Linked DNA regions of Canis lupus familiaris. The protein of the gene in region 1 interacts with the protein of each later gene in a pairwise test. Links are inferred from orthologs where the notes say so. Each region holds a gene or a part of one and is shown in the gene's direction. Other genes may lie near its edges.

Evidence for each region.
Region 2: the proteins of MAD1L1 (region 1) and BAG5 interact in binary tests that used the Homo sapiens proteins (3 or more experiments, as listed by UniProt). The two-hybrid records come from large-scale screens. The link is inferred for Canis lupus familiaris from reciprocal best matches to the Homo sapiens genes MAD1L1 and BAG5.
Region 3: the proteins of MAD1L1 (region 1) and RNF8 interact in binary tests that used the Homo sapiens proteins (3 or more experiments, as listed by UniProt). The two-hybrid records come from large-scale screens. The link is inferred for Canis lupus familiaris from reciprocal best matches to the Homo sapiens genes MAD1L1 and RNF8.
Region 4: the proteins of MAD1L1 (region 1) and LGALSL interact in binary tests that used the Homo sapiens proteins (3 or more experiments, as listed by UniProt). The two-hybrid records come from large-scale screens. The link is inferred for Canis lupus familiaris from reciprocal best matches to the Homo sapiens genes MAD1L1 and LGALSL.
Region 5: the proteins of MAD1L1 (region 1) and MFAP1 interact in binary tests that used the Homo sapiens proteins (3 or more experiments, as listed by UniProt). The two-hybrid records come from large-scale screens. The link is inferred for Canis lupus familiaris from reciprocal best matches to the Homo sapiens genes MAD1L1 and MFAP1.

The regions. Positions count from the first base shown.
Region 1 is NC_049227.1:15,032,400-15,036,173, forward strand, and holds the start of MAD1L1 (mitotic spindle assembly checkpoint protein MAD1), read left to right. Parts: upstream 1-1,443; intron 1,444-2,706; 5' UTR 2,707-2,719; coding exon 2,720-2,869; intron 2,870-3,774. Other genes in the region: proline-rich protein 2-like, read right to left, coding at 577-1,443. UniProt on the Homo sapiens protein: Component of the spindle-assembly checkpoint that prevents the onset of anaphase until all chromosomes are properly aligned at the metaphase plate.
Region 2 is NC_049229.1:71,725,849-71,729,916, reverse strand, and holds the start of BAG5 (BAG family molecular chaperone regulator 5), read left to right. Parts: upstream 1-1,257; 5' UTR 1,258-1,313; intron 1,314-1,595; exon of another isoform or gene 1,596-1,756; intron 1,757-3,335; 5' UTR 3,336-3,363; coding exon 3,364-4,068. Other genes in the region: COA8 (cytochrome c oxidase assembly factor 8), read right to left, coding at 893-1,015. UniProt on the Homo sapiens protein: Co-chaperone for HSP/HSP70 proteins. It functions as a nucleotide-exchange factor promoting the release of ADP from HSP70, thereby activating HSP70-mediated protein refolding.
Region 3 is NC_049233.1:6,590,093-6,593,603, forward strand, and holds part of RNF8 (E3 ubiquitin-protein ligase RNF8), read left to right. Parts: coding exon 1-140; intron 141-3,511. UniProt on the Homo sapiens protein: E3 ubiquitin-protein ligase that plays a key role in DNA damage signaling via 2 distinct roles: by mediating the 'Lys-63'-linked ubiquitination of histones H2A and H2AX and promoting the recruitment of DNA repair proteins at double-strand breaks (DSBs) sites, and by catalyzing 'Lys-48'-linked ubiquitination to remove target proteins from DNA damage sites.
Region 4 is NC_049231.1:65,334,954-65,339,102, forward strand, and holds the start of LGALSL (galectin-related protein), read left to right. Parts: upstream 1-1,345; 5' UTR 1,346-1,431; coding exon 1,432-1,467; intron 1,468-2,161; coding exon 2,162-2,233; intron 2,234-2,380; coding exon 2,381-2,469; intron 2,470-3,125; coding exon 3,126-3,303; intron 3,304-4,149. UniProt on the Homo sapiens protein: Does not bind lactose, and may not bind carbohydrates.
Region 5 is NC_049251.1:10,844,027-10,848,110, reverse strand, and holds the start of MFAP1 (microfibrillar-associated protein 1), read left to right. Parts: upstream 1-1,280; 5' UTR 1,281-1,444; coding exon 1,445-1,523; intron 1,524-4,084. UniProt on the Homo sapiens protein: Involved in pre-mRNA splicing as a component of the spliceosome.

The DNA.
Region 1 (3,774 bases):
ACCCTCCAGACCCGAGGTGGGTGGTTGACGTGGGGAAGGGCCTTCAGACCCTGGGAGGAGGGATATGTGCAGACCCTCCAGACTGTGGGTGAGTGTTGTGCACAGACCCTCTAGGCTGTGGGTGGGTGGTGTGTGCAGACCCTCCAGACCCTTGGGTGTGCATATATGCAGGCCCTCCAGACTCTGGGTGTGGGCCTATGTGCAGACCCTGTAGACCCTTGGGTGTGCGTATATGCAGGCCCTCCAGACTCCGGGTGTGGGTGTATGTGCAGACCCTGCAGACTGGGTGGGTGGTGTGTGCAGGCCCTCCAGACCCTGAGTGGGGGGCAGTGTGTGCAAACCTTCGGGGCACAGTGCAGACCCTCCAGACCGACTGCTCAGGCGGGGCGCGGGGGTTCAGGGAGGAGGAGGTTCGGAAGGGAGTGAGAGCCCCGTTACTGGATGAGGGTCTCAGGCCGTCTGAGCTCACGGGGCCCTGGGAGGATAGCCGAGTATTTTGCTTTTCCAGTGATCCCGAGGAAAGGAAAGACGTACTAATTCAAGCTAACACACGCTGTAGTAGAATTTTGGGAGTTGTCAAGAACAGGAAAGTTTGGCCCGAGGAGGCCACCGTTGGGCGGTGCTACTCCGCACAATACAGCGCGAGCGACTGCCCCAGTGGAGGTCCGTCCCGTTGCGGGAGGCGGGCCCCCCCACAGACCCGCGGGCCGGCCTCTGGTGAGAGTCCGAGTGCGGTGTCCCGGGGCGGGCGGCTCTGGGGCGCACGCGGAGCTGCAGGACCCGGGCGGCGCTCGGGCCCGGGGCTTCACGGTCGGCCGCCCAGGTCTCGCGAGAGCGCGGCGGCACGTCTCGCGATACGCGGGCTCGGACGCCGAGGAGGGAGATCTGAGCGGCAGCGGCGGCGAGCTGCCGGGGCTGGGGCTGAGGTGAGTGGCCGGGCGCCGGGGTCGCCGGTGGGCGGATATCCGAGGCGGGCCCGGCCCCCTGCCCGCTGGTCTCTCCCCGCCGTGCTCGTTCCCTCGGATCCAGACCGGAGCTCGAGCCGGCTTCGGCGGCGGCGGTGCGGAGCGGGGTCGGAGCGGGGGTCGGAGCGGGGGTCGGAGCGGGGTCAGGGCGGGGCCGGGGTCGAGGTCGAGGTCGAGGTCGAGGTCCGAGCGGGGTCATAGGGGGCCAGGGGTCGTAGCGTGGCCCGGGTCGGAGCGGGGTCAGAGCGGGGCCGTGGGGCGGGACCGGGCAGACCCCACCGGGCGCCTGGGGTCCGGCAGAGCCGCCTGGGAGCCGGGGTTTGCAGCGGGGCGGCAGGGCCCCCCCGCCCCGAGTAGTGCCCAGGCCAGGAAGGGCAGCCCAGGGGTGTGATTTGCAGCGCTTGGGTTTCCGCGGTTGGGTTGAGGATTGGAGTCTCTCGGGTAAAGAGGACGGAGTTTGAGGACTGCCTAAGCGCATCCCCAGTGCAGCGCCTTAGTTCCAGGCGGTTGAAAGCGTGTGCGCTCTTCGTTCCGGGGGGAGTTACACGCATCAGCTCTTACAGGGGCGCCTCTCCGGACCAGGACTTCCCAGCTTGACTTCCCATCACCGGTCGGAGAGTATGGCCCCGTTCGGAAGGGTTTGCTTTCTAGAGTGGACCTCTGCTGTCCAGTGCAGCTCGGGCCTGCATCTGCCGCGGCCCTCAGCACTCTGTGCTTGCATGTCCTGTTCCGCCTTCTACTCCAGGTTTCCACATGCAGTGTGATTGCGAGGTCGAGAGGACAGCTGTGTTGTCTGGGGTGAAAACATGGCCTACAGAGGAGGGCTCTGTGTGCATAGGGCCAAGGTTCTCCCCAAACGGAAATTCAGAGTCAAACTAAGATTCCTCACTTTCTTTCCTCCTCTGGGGGGAACGTGGGGAGGTGTTTTCAATCTAACGCTCAGAGAAGTCCCGGTGAGCTGGCCTTTTACCTAAGAGGTGCCTTTGCTTGTTAACTGCACCTGAGATGCTTCCTACACACTGGTTGGCAGGTGTGAGGCCACCGTCAGCACAGGTTTGGGGATGCAGGTTTGGAGTTGGTTTTCTTTTCTTTTCTTTTCTTTTTTTAAAAATATTTTAATTATTTATTAGAGAGCAAGAGAGAGAGGACAAGGCAGGGAGGGGCAGAGGGAGAAGCAGACTCCCCGCTGAGGAGGGAGCCCACCCTGCAAGGCTCCATTCCAGAACCCTGGGATCAAGACCTGAGCAGAAGGCAGATGCCTAACCAATGCCCGGGGGGTGCTTGTGCTCTGCCCTCTGTGCCCTGGCTTATGGAGCACACCGGACTTTAGAGCCACACAGATCTGGCTTCTGGCCTGTTCTGTAACTTTCTGAAGCCTCGCTTTCATGGTGTGTGAAATATGTGTAGAAAGACCTCATCTCCTGTTGTGTGGCCTGAGATGTCCTGTGTGATGTTATAGGCAGAGTGATGAACTATGGCACCAGGCACCCCCCCATCCAACTTATGATGGATGCTGTCATCCTCACAACAACTGTGCAAAGTGACCCTCGTGACCGTACTTTCCAGATGAGTCCACACTGCCAATTAACTTCAAAAATGTGGCTGTGACACTGGAGTATTGTCAGGATTCTGAGGGAGCATTGGGAGAGTGGGGCCACCCAGAAGTGCCCCTGCCTAGACCTCTGGTAGAGCTAATGGTGCCTGCAAAGGCTCACCGTCACCCCTCCCTGTTTTCCTCCAGAAGCAAAGTGGCCATGGATGACCTGATGGAAAACACCACTGTGCTGTCCACCCTGAGGTCTCTGAACAACTTCATTTCCCAGCGGGTGGAGGCAGGATCTGGACTGGATGCTTCCACCCCTGCCCAAGGTTCTCTGCAGATGCAGTACCAACAGAGCATGCAGGTGAGTGCCGTGTAGCGTGAAGGGGTCTCGGGTGGAACATGTGTGCCCTTGACAGTTCCTTTTCCAGTTGCAAGTAGTCCAGGTGAGTGCTCTGTGTGCGGAGGGCTCTCCAGGTAAAGAGAAAGATTGGGTGTGTCATGGTCTCTGATTTTGGGGACCCATTTGCAGATTTTGGCCTCAGTCTGCCATGATGTGGCTTTTACAGTTTTCCTATAAGAAGTCTTACTTCATTTCACTTTTTTTTCTTTTAAGTATTTATTCACGAGAGAGGCAGAGACATAGGCAGAGGGAGATGTGGGACTCGATCTCAGGACTCCGGGATCACGAACTGAGCTGAAGGCAGGCACTCAACCACTGAGCCACCCAGGAGTCCCTCATTTCACGTTCTTAGAAACGCTTACTATTGACCATGAAGGTCTCCTGGAGGACTTGAGGTTCCACAGAGTTGTAGGGTCAGTCTCATGGGGGCAGGGGTCACTGGGTCCATGTGAGGAGGAGGTGCTGTCTGCAGCCTGGCCCCTGCCACTGTGCACTGCCGCCACATCAGGCAGCAGTCCCCTGCTTGTGCAGCTGGAGCCAGTCTTTGGTAATGGCCTGTGACAGAGCCAGTGGTGTCATGTGGCCCTGGGAGCCCTGAGGAGCCCCAGGCAACATTTGGTAAGAGAAATGCTCCTGTGTTTTTATGCATTCATTTGCTGAATGTTCAAATATTTTTTGTTTTTTTAGTGGGCTGAGTTGCTCACTACCATTTTTTGGCAAAGACTTTTATTCTGAAATTGTTTTTTTAATGTTTGTGTTTTGCCTAAAGCACTTTTTTGGAAATGATGGTGGTTTTTGTTTGTTTTTGTTTTTGTTTTGTTTTTGATTCTTGCTCACTGGTAAAATAAGTTGGCAACTTTGGTCTA
Region 2 (4,068 bases), on another chromosome or scaffold:
GTGGGGGCGGGGAGGGGGGGTTGACCAGCTGCCCCGCCAACTTCTTGTCCAAACTATAAACTAAACAGAGGGCAGCCCGGGGTGGCTCAGCCGTTAAGCACCTGCCTTCAGCCCGGGGCGTGACCTGGAGACCTGGGATCGATCCCGCGTCGGGCTCCCTGCATGGAGCCTGCTTCTCCCTCTGCCTGTGTCTCTGCCTCTCCCTCTGGGTCTCATGAATAAATGAATACAATCTTAAAAAAAAAAAATAAAAATAAACTATAAACTGAACAGAACTTCAAAACTACATTTATAAAAAGCATGCTAACAGCAAAAGACTAACATAGACGAAAACTTACAGGCAGGCACATTTTGGAAGTCCTGCTTTTTTACCCCAGGCTTTCCAGCCTCCACCCTTAGCCTGTTGGCAAATTCCGTGTTTGTGTGCGTAGGCTTCGTTTAAATATTTCGTCTGCAGCCCCACGCTTCCACGTGACAGCTGGCACTCCGTGGACGAAACACCCTTCCCCTAAGAAGTGCAATTCCTAAAAACGGTCCTTCTTCGTTGCTACAGGTACCCCCGCTAACCTTCCACCCGCGCCTCGCACCTATGCGCGCAGTTCTCCAAACCAGAGCTACGCCCCGGCGGCCCTGCAAGACACGAGGCTCGGGGGCGCGGTCGCTGGCGGAAGAGCGCCCGGAGCCACGGCGCGGGCCGAGACCCCGCGTGCGCGCCAAGCGCTGCAGCCCAAGGCCCCCGCTCGGGAAGTCCCCGGCGCGGCGGCCCCAGCACAGCCGCGGGCTCCGAGGCCCCCCCCCCCCCCCCCCCGCGGCCCGGGAGCTGGGCGGACGCCGCGGCCGGCCTCGACGGGGCGCGGAGCCCGGCGCGCCGCCTGCAGGACCCCCAGCTTACCCGGCTCGCCGCCGCCTCCCTGCGCTCCGCGCCGCGCTCGGGGCCGAGCGGACAGCCGGGGCGAGCAAAGGCGCGGCACAGCGGCGGCAGAAGCGCCCTCCTCGAGGCCCGGAAGCCCACCATGCCCAGCGTCCCCCGGCTGCCGCGACGCACGGCAGAGCCGCGCCGGCGCGAGGGGCTGCCTTACGGCACGGTCGCAAAGCCAGCGGGAGCGAGCGGCGCGGCCGACCGTGCGCTTTCCCCGCGGCTCCGCGGCCAGCTCCGGGCTGCCGTGCCGGGCGGTGGTGGCGGCGCGCGCCGCAGGACGTTTTCCCAGGGCGGGGGCTGTTCGGCCCGGGGCGGGGCCGCGGGGCGGGCGACGGCGACCGCGGCGGAGTCCTGCGCGTCGGCGGCGGGGCGCGCGATGGCGCGGGCGGCACAGGTGAGCGCAGCTAGGCGGCTGGCGGGCCGCGGGCCTCCCCGTGCGCGCCCCCCGCCCCCCGCCCCCCGCGCCCGCGCCCGCTCCCGCCGGGCCTGGGCCTCGGCCTCCGCGCCGCTCCCCGCCCGCGTCCGACGCGGCCCGGCTCCCCGGGGGGCTCGGAGGCCCTGCGAGCGCGGCCGCCCCCTCCCGCGCGGGCCATTGTGAGGTCAGGGCCGGCGGGCGCGTCGGGGGCCCGGGCGACACGCCCGGAGCGGCGGCTGCGGCCAGTAGCTGCCGCGCCACCGCCGGCCCCCTCACCGGCCGCCCGGGCACACCCAGCCGGCAGGGGTGAGAGGGATGCAGCTGGGGCCCCGCTCCGGTGCCGCACCCCGTAAAGGGCTGACCTGCCACCTCGCCAGCTCCCCGCGGGCAGCCAGGACCAGACCAGCGTAGACCTCCTCTGGGTAAAGTGCTGGCAGGGGAGGGCGAGGGGGGGAGGCCGGGGCCCCGCCGGCCGCCCGCCCTCCCTCCCCCGAGAGCGGGCCGACGGGCCTAGGGAGGCACCAGCCCTCCGGAGGCCAAGCTGGTGCCTTTAACACGGTGCCGGTCACCTTCCCTTCCTGGGGGATCTTCGCCTCCGCGCGGAGGGTCTTCGACGTCCTCGGAGGGGCGGGGGAAACAGGGTGGCCGGGGAGGAGCCCCGAGCGGCGGGGAGGAAGTAGAAGCGGGGCCTGGGGGTCGCTGGGATCCGCTGCTGTTTGTTTCACTTAGACTTCCGGGTTTTGTTCTGTTTTTTCTATTTTTTTTTTTTTTTTAAGATTTTATTCATCTATTCATGAGAGATACAGAGAGAGGGAGGGAGAAGCAGGCTCCACGCAGGGAGCCCGATGCGGGACTGGACCCCGGGTCTCCAGGGTCACGCCCTGGGCCGAGGCAGATGCTAAACTGCTGAGCCCCCGGGTGCCCTCCAGTTTGTTTTGAAAGCAGGCATAGCTCTCGGGCCAGGTGGGTGCTGGGATGGCACTGTTAGCGTTTGAAGGTCAAAAGAGCAACTGTTGCACGTTCCACAGGGGTGCCCTGCTGTTGCCAACAACCAGGGTCCAGCGTTAATACCTGAGATCCTTGTGCTGTTTCCACCCCAGTAGTTGACCTCGTGCCACACGTGTAGAGACCCAGGCGAAGAAGTTGGGAAATCAGGCCCAGGGCTCCAGCTCGTTCTGCACTGCAGTAACCCCTGTCCATTCCTTTTTTTTTTTTAATTTCTATTTATTTATGATAGTCCCACAGAGAGAGAGAGAGAGAGAGGCAGAGACACAGGCAGAGGGAGAAGCAGGCTCCATTCACCGGGAGCCCGACGTGGGATTTGATCCCGGGTCTCCAGGATCGCGCCCTGGGCCAAAGGCAGGCGCCAAACCGCTGCGCCACCCAGGGATCCCACCCCTGTCCATTCCTAATCACAGGGGTGTGTAGGTGATCTTCAAGAAAGTGGATTACTCTTTCCATACTTGAGTATGACTGCTGTTTAGATCACACTAAGGATGGGCCTTAGTGTGATCTAAACTCAAATGCATCTTTTTTTAAAATTTATTTTATTTAATATTTATTTATTCGTGAGAGACACAGAGAGAGAGGGGGGCAGAGACACAGGCAGAGGGAGAAGCAGGCTCCATTCAGGAAGCCCAATGTGGGACTCAATCCCAGGACTCGAGGATCACACCCCGGGCTGTAGGCAGCACTAAACTGCTGCACCTTTGGGGCTGCCCGTTTTTGTTTTGTTTTAAGATTTTATTTATTCACAAGAGACACCAGAGAGAGGCAGAGACACAGGCAGAGGGAGAAGCAGGCTCCATGGAGGGAGCCCAATGTGGGACTCGATCCCAGGACCCTGGGATCACCCCCTGAGCTGAAGGCGGTGCTAAACCACTCAGTCACCCGGGCGTCCCTCAAATACCTCTTCTTAAAATGAGAATTTCGGAATGAATCAATATTTGCTTACCTGTCTGTAGAGTCTTTGTGTAATTTGGCATTCTTGTCATTTTTTAGTGCTTGTAAAACGGAACACAACAAAAGTATGGATATGGGCAACCAACATCCTTCTATTAGTAGGCTTCAGGAAATCCAAAAGGAAGTAAAAAGTATAGAACAGCAAGTAATTGGCTTCAGTGGTCTGTCAGATGACAAGAATTACAAGAAACTGGAGAGGATTCTAACAAAACAACTCTTTGAAATAGACTCTGTGGATACTGAAGGAAAAGGAGATATTCAGCAAGCGAGGAAGAGGGCAGCCCAGGAGACGGAGCGTCTTCTCAAAGAGCTGGAGCAGAATGCAAACCACCCACACCGGATCGAAATACAGAACATCTTTAAAGAAGCCCAGGCCCTGGTGAAAGAGAAGATTGTGCCGTTTTATAGTGGGGGCAACTGTGTAACTGACGAATTTGAAGAAGGCATCCAGGATATCATTCTGAGGCTGACACATGTCAAAACCGGGGGGAAGATTTCTCTGCGGAAAGCACGGTACCACACCTTAACCAAAATCTGTGCGGTGCAGGAGATCATCGAAGACTGTGTGAAAAAGCAGCCTTCTCTGCCACTTTCCGAGGACGCGCACCCTTCAGTGGCCAAGATCAACTCGGTGATGTGTGAGGTGAACAAGGCCAGAGGCACTCTGATCGCACTTCTGATGGGGGTGAACAATAATGAGACTTGCAGGCACTTATCTTGTGTGCTGTCGGGGCTGATTGCAGATCTGGATGCTCTAGACGTGTGCGGGCGA
Region 3 (3,511 bases), on another chromosome or scaffold:
GGTAGAATGCCCCATTTGTCGGAAGGACATCAAGTCCAAAACCCACTCCCTGGTTCTGGACAATTGCATTAATAAGATGGTAGATAATCTGAGCTCAGAAGTGAAAGACCGACGAATTGTCCTCATTAGGGAACGAAAAGGTGAGTGGGTATGAACAAGGTGAGTCCCCTCAACAGAAGACTGACAAACTTAAGATTTTTTTTCGTTGGGGAAGAGTCAGATGAATGATTCTTAAGCTAAAGAAGAGGAGTAAGAAATGGGAAAAGTAAAGAGAGTTAAAGGTAATGAACATGTGAGAAAGAATTGAGAGAGAATGGATTTGCATATTTGAACATGCAGGGAAGGGAGAGACTTATAAAGTGTGTATGTACCTTGGGTATGGATGTGGGTAGAAAACACAAGGTCACACAGTTTGTTAGACTGACCACTAGATGGTGCTGTTGTGCAAAACAGTTTAGTTGCTCTCCAGGTGTTGGCAAAAACCTTGGGCTGGGTACACAATCAGTTATCAATAAGAGATGAACAAGTCAGAGATTGACAAATTGGAAAATACTTGATGAGAACACATATAAAAGTTTTATAGGAAGTCATAGCTTAATTACACAAATTGGACATAATGTTAAACGAGAGAGCTAAATCTAATCTTTGGGGATCCTGATATGTTTACCAATTAGTCTGCTGGTTGAGGAGAATTTGGATGAAGAGATTGGGGAATGTGTGGGTGTATTCCCCTAATAAATCATGTTTCTATGGTGAATATCCACTTATTCAACCAAGTGATCTCATCACCCTTGGATCTTGCTGTGTAGAGGGTTGCAGAGCCACCGCCTCCCCCACCTCCCTGCCCCCAGACTTGAATGTCCTTGTGGCAAAAGATGTGTCCTGGGGCAAGGCACAAATAAAGTAATGGCTAGGAGGAAGGATTGGTTATTAGCCAGGGATGAGAATGCACAGAAGCAGGGTAGATCTGATTATAATGCTCAGTCCCAAATAGTTGAGTACAGCACTACCTCCTGGGAAAGCATCAAAGCCAAAGTGCTATGATGTCAGTTGGCTACACATAAATGCCAAACAGAGAAGATGTTCAGCCCAGAAGCTCACTGCCCTTACAGGTGCTTCCCACTGCCTGACCATTGGTAGCCCATATTTGTATGTGGCTTTGAATGTACCTTTCTCTAAGTCTAGAGAAACTGAAGGCCTAAAAGCCACACTGCTAGTAGTAGATCTTCTGTCCACTGCTTCCTAGCCCTTCAATGGATGTCAGCTACTTTGAGTGGGACGAGGAATGTGATGCTAATGTGCAAGCGCTGTAGTGTGAAACTGGCCCTCGGCTAGTCAGCCAGAGCAGAAGTAGCAACCCTGTTGCAGAGCCAGGGGAAACAGGTGCTAAGCAAGAAGTGTGCTTGAACCTGTTCTACTTCTACCAAAATGTTTTTCACTTTTCTGACAGCTGTTGCTTATAGATTTTGTGGCCAGTTTGAACCCTCCCAGATCTTTTACCTCTCAGGAGTCCCTTGATTCTGGCAGAGTCCCATTGCTCTTCCTCTCACTTCTCACTCCATCAGCATTTATAGAAATGCTCCACACAGGGATGAAGAGATACATAAGGCACTATTTCAACTCCCACAGCTCTCAGTCTGTGGAGAAGGGAAAAAGGCAAGTAGATAGTGTGACAAGTTCCACACCAGGATCTTAGGACACTGTAGAAGAGCAGACAGTCAGTTTGGCCTGGGCAGGCAGAGGTACGGTAGGTAGGAAGCTTCATGGAAGAAGCGTCATTCAAACTGAGTCTTAAAGGTTCCCAGGGGTGGAGCTTTCCAAGTAGAGGCTTCAGCACAAACAAAGCACAGAGGCATGAGAAGCAGTGATGTGTTCATAGCAGTGGCCCATACATGACAAAATGTCTGCGTGGTGCCAGAGCAGCGTGAAGATAGCCACAGCTTAGGAATTGTTAGCTGAGGTGTCATGAATGCCTTCTGAGAGGAGCAGTGACTTGGGGCCCGATTTAACCAAGGCCACCGTTTGAGCTGGAGTGTGCTAGGTCTCTGTCTCCTTTGGACACCCATGTACTTTCTTCACCCAGCCCACTGACTGGGTTTCTTCTCCTATGTGCAAGCATGGTAGATGGCTTTGTGCAGCACTGGAAAAGGAAGCAGACCCGTGTCCTAAGTTCACCTCCGGCTCCCCTCACACAGAGTTAATTCTGCAGAGTAAATAACGTCAGATCCCATTTTTCCCTCCAAAGGCTAAAGAGGGTGCCTCTCTGCCTTTTTTGGTAATCCTTGGAGCCTGTGTGCTGAACTCCCTGGCCTGGAGGGGTCCTGGCACTGGCCTCTGTTTCCGTGGTTATCACAGCAAGTTCAGCTCTGGGGTGTTCTCCAGAGACAGGGATTCTGAGTCCTCATTTAGGGAAACACGTGCCAGAGCCATCAGCAAGCAGCTTCACTGGTCTGCAGTGTGGGGTTTAGAGAAAATTCTCAGTTCAAATACCAACCTTCTTTGCCAGTTGAAAGCTACTTTAATCCCCAGTGCATGGGAATTTTAAAAAGGACCAAACTTAGGGTCTGGGAACCAGGATTGGCAGGCCTATAATTGTCAGAGTTTGGATGCTGTGGCAGGGCTGTTTTCCTCCTGGACAGGAGTTGCTCTTATCACACATTCAGGGAGGAGACCTGCCTGTCTGTGGTGCTGATTCCACCAAGAACAGCCCCACTCCAGGCCTCCCTGGCTGGAGAGAGGAGACAACAACGTCTTCTAGTTCTGTATTCCTGTGGGAGGAGTGAAGCCTCGAGACTGATGAGCCACTGATCCCTTGTAAACTCTGTGAGGCCAGATTTTACAGAGGAGAGGAAAAGAATGCTCACATACTAGATCCTGTGTTAGAGAAATGATGCTCTGGCGCTGGGGCAGATAAGAAACATTAGTAAGTGCTTGTCACATGAATAATTGTGGCTCTCTAGGATATTGACATGAGATTTTTTGAGGGGAAGACATTTTCTGACATTCTCTGTAGAGGATCTCCCTCTGGAGCTGCTGAGGTACTAGAGCAGTCTTCTGTCAGCTACTCCCCCTCTTCCATTTGTTCTGTTCTCATTAAATGTTGGGTGGTTGACAGAGTGTTAACATTCTCACTTTTAGCTTTCCCTAGCAGTTTCTTTGGGTTGTGTTCAGAAAAGAAGAAAGCAAATTATCTAAAAATAAAATCTTGTTGGTCCTTTAGAATAGTGATTTTCAGTCTAGGGTCTTTTTCAAACTACAATCCCCAGCTCCCTTGATACTGTTACATCAAACCAAGGCTACTCGTGGGAGAGTGCTGTGGCCTTCAAGTATGCCAAGGTTGGGAGGAAGGTTTATGAGACGCAGCTTTCCATGAATCTGTGACACAGAGGCCCCTCCAGAGGCTCAGGGTCTCTAGGAAGATAGACTTAGGTCAGACTCCAGGGCCTGTGGCTCTTGCCAGTTTCCTCTAGGCTGTGAGGAGTGTGATCCAGACACAGGACAGGAGATATTG
Region 4 (4,149 bases), on another chromosome or scaffold:
TGTGAACCACAACTGTGTTGCACTTGGGTCTCTAATTCAGAGCACACAAAGGAGCCGGCGTGTGCATACAGACGTGTGCAGGTAATCATCCCTCCTGGACTGAGATGACCAGATTAGCTCTGGTCCATAAAGGGAGGGCAAAAGACACAAAAGCCGCAGTGATGTTCCAGGCCACACAGGCCACAGCACTGGCTGGAAGGGAGCCTCCGAGGGCTCCTCTGGGACCGCCACACATGCTCCCTGCTTATTAGTGTAAAACACCCTGGTGATTCACACAATGGAATGTTTAAGCCAAGATGTCACTTAATAGAGGGTATGTTGATACAGCTTTATCTGAGAAGTTACGTAATCATCCTAGTGCGGAAAGGCCAAAGAGGAATTCGTGCCTCGGAATAAAAGGGGTGTACCCGAGGAATTACTCCGCAAACCATACAAAGAGTTTTCCAGCGAGAAATTAATGACCTCACACCCAGCAGGTGTCAGGGGCTGGGGGCAGCGCTAGGGATGCGCTTGGGCAGTTCCACTCGGGGGACAGAGCCAGGCCCCCTAGCCCCCTGGCATTTGAAAAAGTCCCTACCACGAGTCCTCTCAGCCTCCTGCTTTCGGGCCAAATATTTATTTCCACAAGCCTGGAGTCCTGTCATTAGCTTTCCGCCTAGAAGGCCCAAAGGATCTTCTCCTCCGCCGGGCTGGACTTCTTCTGAAAGGCACCGGGCGCTCCGGCAGCCCCCCCCCCCCCACCAGGGGCCGGCGGCGGGGGGCGAAGGGGTCACGGCACCTGCCACCCCACAGCCCCGGGCCCCCGCCCCGCCGCACCCCCGACGGCCGGGCCCGCCCCTCCCCCCCGCCCGCCGCCACCTCCCGGCGGCCGAGGGGCAGGGCGGGCCGAGCGAGCCGCGGCGGCCCGGCCGGGTCCCCGCCCTGTTCCCTTTAAATGCCGCCCTGGGCCAGCGCGACGCGGCCCGCGCCACCTTCCCCCCTCGGGAGGCGACAGCAGCACCCGAGGAAGGAAGCGGCCGCGACTCGGAGCCGGGCCCGGGCAGCGGCGGCCACCTGCGACCCGGCGGGCGCGCCCCCCTGCACCTCCCCTGCACCTCCCCTGCACCCCCTGCACCTCCCCTGCACCCCCCTGCACCTCCCCTGCACCCCTGCACCTCTGCACCTCCCTGCACCCCCCTGCACCTCCCCTGCACCCCTGCACCTCCCCTGCACCCCCGCACCCCCGCTCCCCTCCCCCGGCCCTCCCTGCCCGCCGGCCGGCGCCGGGCCCCAGGCGTGCGCGCGCGCCCCCGTGTGTGTGCGCGCCCCGCCAGCCTCGGACCCGCGCCCCCGCGCGGCGCAGCACCGCCCCGGGATCCCGCCCGCGCGCCGCGTCCCACGTCCCCGCCGCCGCCGCCAGCCGCGCACCCCCGGGCGCCGCGGTGCAGGAAGATGGCGGGATCGGTGGCCGACAGCGATGCGGCGGGGGTGAGCGCGGGGCAGGGTGCAGCGGGGCCCCGCCGCCCGGCCGTGCCCGAGAGGCCGAGGCCCAGCCCCGCGCCCCCGCGTGGGAAGGCGCCGGGGACCTGTTGGCGGGGGGCGGGGGGCTGCAGGCGGGGCGCCCGGGGTGCAGCGGAGGGGGGGCGGGGGGGGCGGGCCGGCGGCCAGGTGTGTGCCCGGGGCACGTGTGCGTGTGCGCGAGTGTGAGTGAGTGTGCCCGGGGCGCGCGCCCCGCGGCCGGCGTCCCGGGGATTCCCCGCGGGGAGCGGCTGGGGCCGGGGGTGGGGGGCCCCGAGGAAGTTGAGCGCGGCCCGGCACCCCCGCGGCGTCCTGCAGGCCGGGCCTGGGCGCGTCTGCGGTCGAGGAGGGGCCTGGCCTCCCCCCCCCCCCGCCCCCCGCCCGGCGCGCCTCCACCTGGAGCTTGGTCTAGATCCGCAGGGCTGGGGAGCTGCAGAAGCTCGGCCACCGGCCTCGGGGGACAGGACGGGGTTCGTCCCGGGGCTGGGAGGTGGCGGCTTCTGCAGACGCTGCCTGTGCCCTGTGCGGGCTGCTGGATTCAGCCGGATTCGTATAGGTGCTGCTCCACTCCCTCCCCTGCTCCTCCCGACACCCCCCCCCCCCAAAAAAAAAAAAACAACAACTAGAGCCTTTGGAAAGCCAATCTGTGTGCTTCTATTTTTAGAAACTGGATGATGGGCATTTAAACAACTCCTTGGGCTCTCCAGTTCAAGCCGACGTGTACTTCCCACGACTGGTAAGTGATTGAGTTCTGTGCTCTTCTCCGCCTGCCCGCTTTTCCTTTCTAATTGCATTTTCTAGCGGGTCAGGTCCTGGGGATCTGAGGACTTGGCTCTTGCCGGACAGGCTGTAAACGTCCTGTGTCTCCTGTCATCCTTTGCAGATAGTTCCATTTTGTGGGCACATTAAAGGTGGCATGAGACCGGGCAAGAAGGTGTTGGTGATGGGCATCGTAGACCTCAACCCAGAGAGGTAAGATGGTCCTTGTCACCCCAAGGCTTATTATCTGGCAGTTACAAGGCCCTGCCCACTCTTGTTGTGGCTTATTGCTCCTCCTCCTCCTGTCCCTGTGGCCAGTGTTGCTAGTTGGAAGTGCCAAGAAAGTACCATGTTCCCATGAAAAGAATGTGTATGAATCCCAGCCATCATTTCTCCAGACAGCTATTTATATCAGAGATGATAAATATAGGCCCACATCATTTTCTCTTTGACCCTTAGAGAGGCCAAACAATTTTTTCTTAAGGGTTTTTAAACATGGTGCTTGGAGCGAGATCTATCAGTACAAATGACAAGCAAACATTACAAGATATTATCTCCCCTGGTCAATTTCTGGGGCTGTTTTTTGAGAATTCTGAAATGGGTTAAGACACACATGTGTCGGTGGTTTTGGCTTTCTGAAATCCCTAATGTTAGCCATGTTCAACTCCACCAAAGTTGTTACCAGAGCCTCCTTTAGGTATTAAAATCCCCGGCTTGATTGTAATCCTCTTTCTCCATGCATAGTCTAATCTGCTGTGTAAAGAATAGTGGCCCATTCAAAGCAGACAAACCCCAAGAAGGAGGAGGAACTCTGGGAGCCTGGGTTGCTGATAGTGGACTCAGAATAAATGAGATGATTTTCTTTTCAGCTTCGCGATCAGCCTGACCTGCGGTGACTCAGAAGACCCTCCCGCCGATGTGGCCATTGAACTCAAAGCTGTGTTCACAGACCGGCAGTTACTCAGAAATTCTTGTATATCTGGCGAAAGAGGTGAAGAACAGTCTGCAATCCCTTACTTTCCATTCATCCCAGACCAGCCATTCAGGGTAAGTACCTCGAGTGCTTCAACTCTAACCGCTGGCAGGGTGATGATGCTCTGTTCCTCCTGCGATTGCCAAGAAAGCTTTAAGCAGCCAGAATTTTTGCATGTCTAGGAAATTTGTCACCTGATGGTGAAAAAAAGAAACAAGATCAAAAGAGTCCTGTTTGCTGATAGAAACTAAGGTCATAGTAGCTCTTGGCTCTGTTTAGCCAATACAGTTAAATAATAAACCCGTGTCCAGATTGTTAAGAATAAATACTTTTCCATGTAGTACTCAACCTAGTACCAGGCACATAATCTGTACCTGTCCCAAAATATCCCAACTGATTAATAAATAATAACAAGTGCTAGAATTTTCCTCACTTTTTTTCAACCTTTAAGGAGTTCTAAACCTTATGAGTTGTGACTTTTTTAAAGAATAACAGTAATAATCTTTTCATTTTCTCTTGTTACTTCTGCCAATGAGGTCTGGTCCTTGTTTCTCCCTCTGGGTTAAGTAACCTCGGTCTGTTTTACTGTCACAGGCTGTGTGGCTAACAAATTCCTTCCCTGGGGCCTGGATGGGTATAACTTGGCTCTCCACCATCTAGTGGGCAGGAAGCATAAGCCAAACTTCCTATCCAGCCGATCAATATTAGTAGCATCTTTCTCTGTGAAGGACAAATGCCGAGTAAGAGATGCAAATAATGTGGGTAATGTGTTAGGAACGGATTTACTGAAATGTTGGGCCTGGCGATGAAGCCTGTATTACACCTTGTTAACATATGTCACAATGATCACAGCTCAGTTAAAAGCTCCATGTCGCATATGCGTCTAATAAAGCACAGCGACCCTTAACCCGTTGTTGCTC
Region 5 (4,084 bases), on another chromosome or scaffold:
CACAAAGTAACAAATAAGATTTTAGTGTCCTGTATTTCTTACAGTCACAGCCATATTTAACTTTTTTTTTTCCTATTCTTTGAGTTGCTGTGAGTCAAAACAATCGTTTTCTCATATTTACTCCATCTGGACAGCATGGTTTTGGAGCTGTTAAATTCAAAATATAAATTTCTACCTAGTCTATTTTTAAGACCCTTTTCTTTCTACCCCATAACTGCTTCCTTGGTCAGTTACATGGATCCTTCACTGTTCCTTGCTCAAGACTTGCCCCATTTTCTTTTCTTTCCCAGTCTAGACCCAATTTTACAACATAGGTGAAATGATTTGAGAACTAATCCTATTAACAGTAACATCAGGGCCCTCCATGATCTGGTTCTCACCAAACTTTCACCACTCCTTGACTCAAAAATCAAACAAAATCAAACTTTTCAGTGTTTGATACATGCCGCGCTATTTGTAGACCTCAAGACTTTGTTCATGCTGCCCCAACTCTCCCTATCACAACACTTAGGAAATCCTTTCTGTGGTGAAATGCTTTCTGACTTCCAATAAACCAATATATATATATATATATATATATATATATATTTTTTTTTTTTTTACAAATCCAGCTAGTAAATTGATTGCCCTAGAAGACTTCCTAAATAAAATTCAAGCCTTTAAGCAATATTCTATACTCCTTAAAGAGCTAAGCACAGCAAACTCAGCAAGTACTTAATAATTACTCATGTACTTATGTAAAAAGTCATGTCTACACAGGAATGTTTTAATAGACGGTGTTGAGAAACTGAAAAAAACTGGAAAGCCTAAAAGCACACCGTTCTGACTCCAAGCATTCATTGTTTCAGGCACCTTACGGGATTTTTTTCTTTTTTTCATGGCAATAGCGTAAATCATCAACACCTGCCCTCACGTGAGGAAAAAAAATACCTCACCACAACCCACTCAGCCTCATCAACTGAGCTAATCAGGGGCTATTATCAGGACTTCTCTTCTCATTAAACTCCAATTCTGAGCTTTCAAGAGTCTGGACAAACTGCCTTTCTCTATCCACTCAATTCCTTATTCATCACTATCTCATTTTCCTCAGCTTCACACAAAGCTAACAAAAGAAACCCGTAATTCGGACCTGCCTCGCCACAGGATCTTAACAGCAAAGGCCAACGGGAAGCAATTTCCCGCCAGAAGCGACGTCCAAACTCTGCGAGACGGAGGAAGCTAGAGCAGCCGAGGAACATGCGCAGTAGCAGCGTCCACGCCCACAATCCCACAATCCTCTGGTCGCATATTTCCGGTTTTTCTATCTCAGACGTAGGTGGTGTTTCTATCTGTTGCGCGGTCGTGCCCAGTGCTTCCAGAGGAGGTTTTTTTTTGTCGTTGACGTTGTTGCGGTTCACTGTTTGGAATCACTGAAGTTTCGGGAATCGCTGCGGCTGCCATCAACATGTCGGTCCCAAGCGCACTCATGAAACAACCGCCCATTCAGTCTACGGCAGGGGCCGTCCCGGTTCGCAATGAGAAAGGTACGGTGCTGAGCCGGTTTCCAGTCGGATTTTACCTCTTCCTTTCCCAGCGTACTGCAAACCTACCGCAACAGACCACCCCAACCCTACCGACCCTTAAGACGCTGCCCCCAAATATCCTCGACTTTTCCCATCAAACTCGCACCCGGTCGCGTTGCCTAAGGGGGAAAATACCCACTTCCATCTCATCTTGTCCATATCGCCCGGCGGCTGCTCTCACAGCAAGCATCCCTCGTCCTTTGGCCTCCACTGTTAAGTTAGACTGTATACACAGTAAATGCCTGCTTTTGCAAGGCGTTGTGCGGAATACGGTCCCTCTTTTGTTTTCCGTAGCAGTCTGTGCCGCTTCTGTAACTCTTCTGTGTCTGTCTCCCTCTACTGCATCATAAACTCAAACGTCCTTGAGACAGGAACCGTGTCTTATTAAACTTTTTATTCCTTTCAACCAACGCTGTGACTGTATGAAGTTGAATACACACTTGTGTGAGGCAGTGCCCTTAATTAACCTAAAGAAACTCATTTTGTAGGTGTGAGACCTGCAAAAAGAGACATTCTAAGCAGTGTGATTCCTGTCACATAGGTGATATAAACCAAACGATATGGAAGTGTAGAGAAGGAATGATCTTTTCAGATTGAGGTAATCTAGGAAAGCTTCTTGAAGAACATGGCATATAAACCGATCCTTAAAGGATCAATAGAATTCCAGTGCAGATAGAAGGAACATGTTTGGAAGGGGTTAGACTAAAGAGTCCCTTTTTTTCAGGAAGGATTTTGGAAAATAATATGAGCTCTTTTTTTATTTTTTAAACATAACAGTACATAATCTTGTGCAACTTGCCTTTTTTTAAAATTCAAGGTGGCTTTTGAGAAATATCCTTTGATATATAAAGAGCTAATTCATTCAACTACTTATAAATTCCATTGTATAAATGAACCAGTTTATTCCTTCCTGGGGGACAGTTGTGTTGTTTTTTCTATTATAAACAGTGCTGTAATTGGCCTTTTTTTTTTTTTAAAGTAATCTTGACACCCACCTTGGGGATCAAACTCATGACCCCAAGATCAAGAGTCATGTGCTCCACCAACTGAGCTAACCAGGCACCTGTTGTAGTTGTCATTCTTAAATGTGCCTCTTTAGTGCACTGTGTAAGAATTTCTCTAGGGTAGACTCCTAAAAGTTCATCATCAACCTAACTAGCTATTTCCAGTTGCTCTCCACAGTGGGTTGTAAGAGCATTAGGAGTTTGTATTTACCCATATATTCATCCACACACTTAGTTGTATCAGATTTTTAAATTTTGTCCAATCGAATTATGAAATATCTCATTATTTTAATTTGCATTTCCCTGATTACTAGTGAGACTAAGCATTTGTCAGCTATCTAGGTGTTCTCAGAATTAGCTGTTTCTGTCATTTATCCATTTTCTACAGTTTTTCTACATCCCAGATCTCTCATATCTTTTTCCTATTTTGTTTTGGTTCTTTGTCTTGTCTTTTCACTTTAATTGTGGAGTTTTCTGTTTCATAGGCCTTTTTAATTTTAGTGTTTTTGGATTTATCAATTTTATCTTTTATAGCTTGTGTTTTTTTTTTTTTTTAAGATTTTATTTATTTATTCATGAGAGACACAGAGAGAGAGAGGCAGAGACAGACACAGGCAGAGGGAGAAGCAGGCTCCATGTAGGGAGCCTGATGTGGGTCTCGATCCCGGGTCTCCAGGATCACGCCCTGGGCCAAAGGCAGACGCTCAACCACTGAGCCACCCAGGCGTCCCTCTTGTGTTGTTTTGTATATTGTGTTAAGAAATCCTTCCCTATACTGAGATCAATTATAAATATTTTCTCAGTGTTTCTATATCCTAAATACGATTGAATACAAAATTGCGCAAGACAGATTCTAATTTAAGGAACTTGTAATCTAGGAAGGATGTAAGTGTTTTAAGATTTTTTTTTCACACGTGGGTCCTTAATCCATGTGGAATTTTTTGTGGGTGTGGTGTCAGAAATCTAATTTTGTTTATGGTTAACCAGTTGTCCTTACAATTCCATTGTTTGACTAACCCATCCATTCTCCACTGCTTTTTAATGTCACTTCTGTAACATACCAAGCTCCTGTGTAAAGGTTTGTTTGCTCTGTACTCTGTTCCATTGGTCTCTATATACCCCGGAGTCATTAATATATTGTTTTAATCACTGTAAGTTTAAACTAAGCCTTGCAATCTGATATAGAAACCCTCCTCCACCTCACTACCTTCTTTTTTTTTAAGACTTTACTGTTATTAAAATTTTATTTATTTATTTATTTATTTATTTATTTATGAGAGTAAGAGAACATGGAGGGTAGGGAGCAGAGGAAAAAGGAGAAGCAGGCTTCTCTTGCAGTGACCAGCAGGGAGCTCAATGTGGGGCTCCATCCCAGAACCCAGAGGTCATGACCTGAGCCAAAGGCAGATGCTTGACCAACTAAGCCACCTGGGCACCCCAAGACTTTTATTTTTTTATATCAATTTTATGTTTACATTTCCCATATACCCTCTGCTCTGACACATGCATAGCCTCCTC